2 linked regions of the Daphnia pulex genome follow. The protein of the gene in region 1 interacts with the protein of each later gene in a pairwise test. Links are inferred from orthologs where the notes say so. Each region holds a gene or a part of one and is shown in the gene's direction. Other genes may lie near its edges.

Region 1 (4,478 bases):
GCTTTTTATTAATTTTTCATTTCTTCCATGCAGTAAAAAGAGAGAAGTTGTTCCTGATTTGGCTCCTATGCTGTGGCATTCATTTGGAACTATAGCAGCTCTATTGCAAGATATTGTAAGCATTTATCCAGCAGTAAGTCCACCTACTCTTACTGCTCAACAGTCCAACAGAGTTTGCAATGCTCTTGCTCTTCTGCAATGTGTTGCTTCACACCAAGAAACCAGATCTGCTTTTCTGCAAGCTCACATCCCATTATTCCTCTACCCTTTTTTGCACACTGTGAGCAAGACACGGCCATTTGAATATCTTCGTTTGACCAGTTTGGGAGTCATTGGTGCTCTAGTTAAAACTGATGAACAGGAGGTTATCAACTTTCTTCTTACAACAGAGATAATTCCATTGTGTTTGAGGATAATGGAAACTGGATCTGAACTGTCCAAGACTGTTGCAACTTTCATACTTCAAAAAATTCTCTTGGATGAAACTGGTCTGGCTTACATTTGTCAAACTTATGAGCGCTTTTCTCATGTTGCAATGATACTTGGTAAAATGGTTTTATCATTGGCCAAAGAACAGTCAGCTCGTCTTTTGAAGCACGTTGTCCGATGTTATCTTCGTCTTTCTGACAATCCAAGGTAAGGGACTTGCAAAAACCAAAAAGGAATTTTCGTATTGATATAAAATTCGACTATATTTTCTAGGGCTCGTGAAGCGTTGCGACAATGCCTACCTGATCAGTTGCGTGATAGCACTTTCTCAACATGTCTTAAAGATGATAAGTCAACTAAACAGTGGATGGCGCAACTTCTAAAAAATTTGGAAACTACTAATGGAATGGTAGATCCCCGAATCACCGGTTTGCCCTCAATGACTCAACCATGAAATGTTAAAAAAGAATGAATGCTCTTGTCTTGTCTTCAGCGAAAAATCGATCAGAATTATAATACAAACTTGCTGTATTGTTTTTTATTGCAACTAATTTTGCGGTTTCTGCTGACTTATTATATAAATTATAAACACGTGTTTCAGAGAATGTTAAATTTACTTATAAGATGTTCATTTGAGGATACACGAAACGGTGATTTCATTTTTGTTCAGTATCAATACGCAATATAAATTTGAAGTGTTATGTAAAAATTAGGTTCAATTTACTAACGCGAAAGACAAGGCGAAAGATGTAGCACGGGGCCACGGGTGTAGTGTCAAGACGGTTCAAGCTATCTATCTCTGTTGCAATATATTTTGTGACGATAAAAATGTTTTTGTTAACTGCCACGATTGCTTTTGGTCCTAACTTTTAAGTCTTAGATTTTTAATTGGTCCAAGTATTGAAAAATTACTTACTATTTTGTATTTTTGCAAATAATCGAATATTATCTGAGTGCACTACCGTAAAATAAGAAATTAGGTCTGAAAATTAATGAATAATGGGAATGGAAAATAAATAATATCAAGTTCGTTCGCGCAACCCGCACCCTCTGAACATTCCAAGAGATTCCAAGCTGAATTTTTGTACATTTTATAGAAACAAAAAAACCTTGAATTGTATGCTTTTTGGCCGCTACGTGGTGTTGAGGGAGGTTTATAGACGCGGTCAACAGATGGCGAATCAAAGCTTCAAACGGCAGGTTCGACCGTTCATCTCATCCGTAAAAAAGCAAAAGAACACTAAGAATTAAATAAGTAAATAATCGAAGAAAAAGTATATCTTAATTTTTGGTGTGTATTGTGTCGATCGCCGTTTTGACGGTTTTATAAAATGCAAAATACGAACGCAGCTACAGGAAGACCTCCCTTTCCTTCTCCGGGGAGTTCTATGCGGTTCAACTCTCCAAATTACCCTGTAAGTATAGTTTCTGTTGTCTTCAATTTTACAGTACCAAACCTTGATGTCATTCAACTTTCATTTTATCATAGCGCCCGGCATTCAATCAAATTCAAAACCCTCCAAACTCTACTTCTTCAGCAAGTCCTACAATGATGGGTCAAAGACCAAACATGATTGGGAATCCAACACCTCCAAATTCCTATAGTGGACAGCCTGTAAGGCCTGGTGGTCCCGGAATGAGCCCCCAAGCTTTGGGACCAGGGAAGAGACCTGGTGACATGAGAGCCCCTAATCAAACAGGAAAACTGTAAGAAATCAGATTATTTCTTTGTGTCCTTAACATCCAAGTATTAATGGTTTATATGTAGTGAATATGGCCCTAACAGTGCAAAGAAAAAGAAAAAGCTTGCAGACAAGATTCTTCCACAGAAAGTTCGAGATTTGGTTCCTGAATCTCAAGCTTACATGGATTTATTGGCATTTGAAAGAAAATTGGATGCTACTATTATGAGAAAACGTCTCGATATTCAAGTAAGTTGAAGTAAAGATTTCTTTTACACGTGTCAGTAATACTTTTAATACTTTCGTTTCAGGAAGCTTTGAAAAGACCCATGAAACAAAAACGAAAATTGCGTATTTTCATCTCAAACACATTCTACCCTGCTAGAGAAATGGATAATACTGAAGATGTTGGCGGAGGAAGCGGGGTTGCTTCTTGGGAACTGAGAGTAGAAGGACGACTTCTGGATGATGCTGCCAAATCAGATCCCAATAAAGTCAAACGGAAGTTTTCTTCGTTTTTCAAATCTCTCGTCATTGAGCTTGATAAAGACTTGTATGGGCCTGATAACCACCTTGTGGAATGGCATCGAACGTCTACTACTCAAGAAACGGATGGGTTTCAAGTAAAACGACCAGGAGATCGAAATGTACGGTGTACCATCTTACTTTTGCTCGACTATCAACCGCTGCAATTTCGTCTCGACTCGCGTTTGGCTCGTCTTCTTGGCATTCACACTCAAACAAGACCCATGGTAATCTCTGCATTGTGGCAGTACATTAAAACTCACAAACTTCAGGTATTATTCATAGCTGTTACAAGCCATGTGTCAAGAATAATCTAATTTTTTTTCTACTTCCTTACTACCTTAGGATCACCAAGAAAGAGAATTCATTCGTTGTGACAAATATATGGAACAAATATTTGGATGTCCTAGAATGAAATTTGCTGAAATTCCACAAAGATTGAATCCTCTCTTACATCCCCCTGATCCAATTGTTATCAACCATTTGATAAGGTACTTAGAAATTAAAGAAGAGACCATTTTCCATTTTATATTAATTTTATAACTTTTTTCTTTCAACAGCAGTGTGGAGAGTGCAGATCAGAAAAAAACTGCCTGCTATGACATTGATGTAGAAGTTGATGATACATTGAAAGCCCAGATGAATAATTTTTTGCTTTCTACTGCAAGCCAGCAAGAAATTCAGGTTTTTTTTTTCTTCCTGTCAATTACTTTGGCATGTTAAGATATATCTAATTTTTAATTTGTGGATGTAGAGCTTAGACAACAAGATCCACGAAACGGTTGAAAGCATTAATCAACTGAAGATCAGTCGAGAATTTTTCCTTGGATTTGCCCGAGATCCGCAGCAATTCATAAACAAATGGCTCTTATCTCAAACAAGGGATTTGAAGGTAAAAAGCTAAATAAAAAAATTTACAAAAATGTGTTGGATAAATTTAAACGATGTGTTTTTGTTTTGTTTTTTGTTTTCAGACTATGACTGACATCGTAGGAAATCCCGAAGAGGAGCGACGTGGAGAGTTTTACGAGCAAAGCTGGACCCAAGAAGCCGTTTGCCGATATTTTTACAGCAAAGTTCAACAAAAGCGTGCCGAATTGGAACAGGCATTAGGCATTCGTAACAATTAGAATGTTACTACTAAGGAAAACAACTTTTGGTTGGACATCGTTTATGTAAGCCAACTGTGACCAAGTGACAGCAGATTAAAAGAAAAATCCCGAGTTACTTATCGTGCATTTGCAGACTGGTAAAATAACAAGGAAACTTTTAACTTTCTTCGAGTATCGTGAATCCTAATTTGGGTCTAAATACATGGTGTCTTAAAATAATACTTCATCATTACTATTGTTTGCCACCCACGCAAGTAAAGAGATTCAGACCTCTCGATTTTTATTTTTTTTAAATTTTTTTGTTTGTTTGTTTTTGTGTTTATGCTTTTCAATTTTTACCGTGTGTCCCAAATCTAGGTAGCGCTTTTTCCTTAACTTAAATTCGCTTAAATTTAAGAAGGAAATTTTAGGCAGTGCAGGGCTCATCTGATCTATCTGATAATTTTAGAATAGTCATATGATGCCATGGGTGAACACATTTTTACTAAACTCGTAGTAATTGATGCATTAATATCAGTCTGGTTTTTCTACTGTGCTCGAACGCCCGACCCATTCAAAACAAATAAACTATAAACTATCAAGGGACTGTTGAGTAATCGATAAGTATTGGGGTCATGGGATCGGTTCAATATTCCTTCGATGAAGAAATTGTTGTAGTAGGAAACTGATAAATTGATCTGATTCGCCAAGTATCTTTATTTGCGCTTTTCATTAGATAGCTTGTTGATTG
Region 2 (4,155 bases), on another chromosome or scaffold:
TGAGTGGAGTTAATTATAATCTTATGTAATAGGAAGTTAATACAAATTGGAACTGTTGTCAGAAATTGTTTTATTAACATTTAATTATTTCCCGTAACGCTGTTGGCATGAACCATATTCAAGCATGGTTGAAACTAAATGGTCAACGCGTATTCTCATGTGATTGGGTACACGCCTGTAAAGATAAAAGGTAAATAAAATTCTAATGATAGTAAAATTATCAATATTTTTCTTACATCATCTGAGTAAGTCTAAGATGCCATGGGGAGTACCCTAGGGTAGTGTTAGACAGTAAGCTGCCAAACTGTAACATCAACTCTGGGTCTTTGGGGTAGAATTGATTCATGGTGTTTTCCACTACACCCTGATCAATTTGACAATAATTTAATTCACCCACTATTTGCCTTGTAACTTGGGCAAACATAGGTTTGCCATCATTTTGATTCATGATGAAAACATTGATAGAATCTTTAAAGAAAAAACATAATTAGAAAAATGAATTTCACTACTATACTATCCAATTACCCAAATTGTAGAATTCTTTTGTTACAAAGCCTTTATGAACAGCAACAGATTTGGATTTCAATCCATTGCGAAAATTGGCAGCAACACCTTTCAATTTGATTTTGATTTCATCATGACAGCTAGTCAGACAACCTAAAATTTTAACAGTTATGAATCAATCAAATTTGCTAGAAAAATAAGGTACTAATTAAACAGGTAATAAATAAATACCTTCATGATCATAGAGACTGATGCAATAGACACCCATACTAACAAACCACTCAACAATAGTTATTATTCTATCAATGTTTACATCCTTCTCAGTAAACAAGCAAGCAACATGAATGGGAAGTTTTTGAAGTAGTTTCAGGTCACTTCCAATAGTTTGAAGGAGAAGACGTTCATCTTTTATATTTGCACCTAATTTCACAGTCGTGGCATTCAGCAAAACATGGCAGTCTGCTGGCCAGAGGTAAGTTCGATCCTTAACAACTGGTTTGATACGATCAATGAGTTCACTAAACGCCACATGAATGTTGTGAATATATGTGATAATAAAATGAAGAATCACATAGAGCACATTAAGAACCCCCATGACCGATAGAATTTAACTAAATTAACTAAAAAAGGGTGACCACTTGTCACATGACATGCCGGTCTGCTGGATCTTTTGGCATGTCAAACAGTTTACATCGACGCCACTTTTTTAACACATGTCAAATAAAAATAGCAACACTTGAATTAATTGCCATAAATCACACAACTAATTATTAGCTCGATTCCAGGTATAATTTTCTCTTTTTTATCAAAACAGCACCTACAAGAAAACAAAAATTATGTTTTTACGGACGCGGACTTCAAACGTTTTTTCTCACAACAAATATTCTACTGAAAATTAATTGTCATTAGAATTTTACTTACTTGTTCTAATTTGTAAATTTAGAAGTGAACTTGCGATCTTGGTCATCTGAATAATAAAATGAACTGGAAAAATGAATTTTTATCGGCTTCGGTTGTCGAATGTCGACCGTCGACGTGGCTGGAATTGCCCTTAGGGGATTGAAGCTCTACATAAAACTGGCAATGCTGTTCACCACTCTCCCTAGGGCTAAAGCTACTTTTGTAACCAATAGAAAACCAAGAGAGCTGCAGTTGTCTTAATGGACGAAGCTGGGTAAATTTCTTCGAAGAATTATCCCATTTCATCCATCAGTCTATCATATATATTACGACGAATTTGTGTTCATTGGATTTCCAATTGCATCTGTTGTGAACTAGCATCTTTTGATAGCCATTCGTTTAACGCATCCTGTGTAATTCAGCTGACTATTTTCTGTTGCTTTTCAAGCATAGCATAGCAACTTGCCTAAGAAAGAAAGTCGTTGAATCAAAATGGCTTGTGTTACTTTGAAGCGTAGTTTGGAATTTGATCCTGTGCACAGTCCCGGTGGTCGTACACCGAAACGAAGGAGATGTATGCCAATTTGCATGCCTCCAACAACTCCACCAACAAAGTGCCATGAACCTTCTCCTTTTGGCGATGTCTCTTCGAAGCTTACACCAGGTATGTGAGATTTCATAACCAAGTCTTACCAGAATGATTTCTAACTAACGTTATTCTACTTTAGAGCAAATCTTGGCGAATGTTCGTGAGGAAGTTAAACGCTTTCAACGTCGTAAACAGCTTAATTTCAGTCAAAATCAATCTCAGCACATGAGCAGCCAGCATCAAGACAGTTTGATGTGTGAGAGCCCTACCAGTCCAGCATCTCCTGCCTCATGCCCTCGATCACCTTCGCCATTGATGGCCCTGGCTTCCTCCAATAATTTTGGTCAAAGCTGCTCAACTAAAGAGAAACCTTTGTTCACGTTTAAGCAGGTAGGAACAGTTTGTGATTCTCTAGTGTTACATGTTGGTAGTGCTGGTTTTCTTTGAGCTTGATGTTTCCAGTATCATGCGTCTTTGCTAGACTCAGCGTTCTGCTGTTGTCTAGCTTGGCCTCCTCCAGCACATGCCATAAATTAAAAATAGAGTATCATAGTAACAGGATGTGTCATGTACGGCATTCTGTCCTCCAATTCCTCAAACATATTTTCAAGAGATGAAGAAACAAGTGTTTTGTAGTTGAGATTTTGTAACATTCCCTTGTTGTTTTACAGGTGAGCCTCATTTGTGAAAGAATGTTAAAAGAGCGCGAAACAGAAATTCGCGAGGAGTATGATCGAGTATTGACACTTAAACTCGCCGAGCAATACGACGCATTTGTTAAGTTTACTCAGGACCAGCTACAGAAGCGTTTCGAGGCCAATTCGGCACCATCTTGTAAGATATACTTTTATTCTTTCTAAATTGTTTCTATCCTAACTGAATTTTTTCTTCTATTTACAGATTTGTCATAAGATTCAACAGGCGCATAAACTAAAGCTTATTTTTTAATAAATTCGTTTTTTTTGTTTTTTTTTTCTAATCGCAATTCACCACGGTTAATTGCGCAAAATTTCCTCGCTCCTAACTTTACATATTCCCCACGCGCTATGCACACGGGCATGTACGAGCGCGCGTAATGTTATCATCCGCTTATTTGTATATGTAAAGAGAAGGGGAAAAAATCCGCCGTCTGATCTTCAATGTGGTTTTGTCATACATTTGAAAATTGTCGTAGCCGTGTATTTCTTTGATGCTCCAAACGTTAGCAATAGAAAAAAAACATCCGATTAGTTAAGATTATCTCGTGAGGTGATGACATCGATGTTGCCAGTATATTGATATACCTTTTAACCCTGCGATGAGAACACTTCCGAGTCTCGAAAGTATCTGGATTGATGGTAGAGGAAACGTAGCAATCGAAGTGAAATGTGGATGAGTGCCAAGTTCTATCTTATATCCTCTGCATGGTAAAGCCCAAGGGGATTATGTCCACATTTACTACCTTTCCTATTTGGTCGGATGTCTTTCTAATCTGAATGAAATAACTTGGCGTTGGTATTTGTTTCGTTCCCTTTTTCTCCTATTTTGTTTTCAATTACAAGACTTTTGATTGCGCGGATCGAGGAAAAACAATACACTTGGCTACCTCTTAAGACGTTTGTTCGTTACAGCTCTTAAGCTGTTTATTATTGTAATTTAGTTTATGCTGTTTATTTAGAAATGTGTTAGGATAATAGAAAATTACGCTATACAATTAATTCCCATCATGTTGCGTGCAACTAGCCTAATATTTTATATCCCGGTATGACAGGGGATAAAGTTTTCATAGTTATCATGTTTTATTTGATTGTCAGACAAAAGATAGCAACGGAGTTTCAGTTGAATAAACACAATGAATTGGTTGGTTCTTTATTTTACCTGTATGGTATTCAAATTAAATTGCTCTTGAATTTGTTGGCAGAGTTGGTCCAATGCCTCCTCCAATGTGGCATTATCAAGTTTTGGAACACTGGGTAGCACTTTAGGAACAAGTCTGTTATATCTACGATTCAAAAACACTGGGTCTGATGTTGGTGGTTTTCTGAAAATCTGCGATGACTCCGTTGTTAGGTGTTTGTGGCGCTTCATGTTCCGAGACTCCTGGCGTTTAAGTAGGCGATTTTTCTTCAGCGAAATCTATCCCATGCGAATGAATAGGTAGATACGACGTTTACAAATAGATT

The links.
Region 2: the proteins of brahma-associated protein of 60 kDa-like (region 1) and akirin-2-like interact in binary tests that used the Drosophila melanogaster proteins (3 or more experiments, as listed by UniProt). The link is inferred for Daphnia pulex from reciprocal best matches to the Drosophila melanogaster genes Bap60 and akirin.

What each region holds. Positions count from the first base shown.
Region 1 is NC_060018.1:7,203,627-7,208,104, forward strand, and holds brahma-associated protein of 60 kDa-like, read left to right. Parts: upstream 1-1,581; 5' UTR 1,582-1,760; coding exon 1,761-1,844; intron 1,845-1,918; coding exon 1,919-2,136; intron 2,137-2,197; coding exon 2,198-2,360; intron 2,361-2,422; coding exon 2,423-2,908; intron 2,909-2,981; coding exon 2,982-3,127; intron 3,128-3,196; coding exon 3,197-3,320; intron 3,321-3,390; coding exon 3,391-3,528; intron 3,529-3,610; coding exon 3,611-3,766; 3' UTR 3,767-3,967; downstream 3,968-4,478. Other genes in the region: CCR4-NOT transcription complex subunit 9-like, read left to right, coding at 34-636, 703-883. UniProt on the Drosophila melanogaster protein: Involved in the recruitment and site-specific anchoring of the Brahma complex at specific promoter sites.
Region 2 is NC_060027.1:5,353,322-5,357,476, reverse strand, and holds akirin-2-like, read left to right. Parts: upstream 1-1,591; 5' UTR 1,592-1,896; coding exon 1,897-2,068; intron 2,069-2,132; coding exon 2,133-2,383; intron 2,384-2,664; coding exon 2,665-2,827; intron 2,828-2,893; coding exon 2,894-2,904; 3' UTR 2,905-3,585; downstream 3,586-4,155. Other genes in the region: dehydrodolichyl diphosphate synthase complex subunit nus1-like, read right to left, coding at 85-175, 237-468, 526-657, 736-1,099; uncharacterized protein LOC124207045, read right to left, coding at 3,842-4,108. UniProt on the Drosophila melanogaster protein: Molecular adapter that acts as a bridge between a variety of multiprotein complexes, and which is required for embryonic development and for normal innate immune response.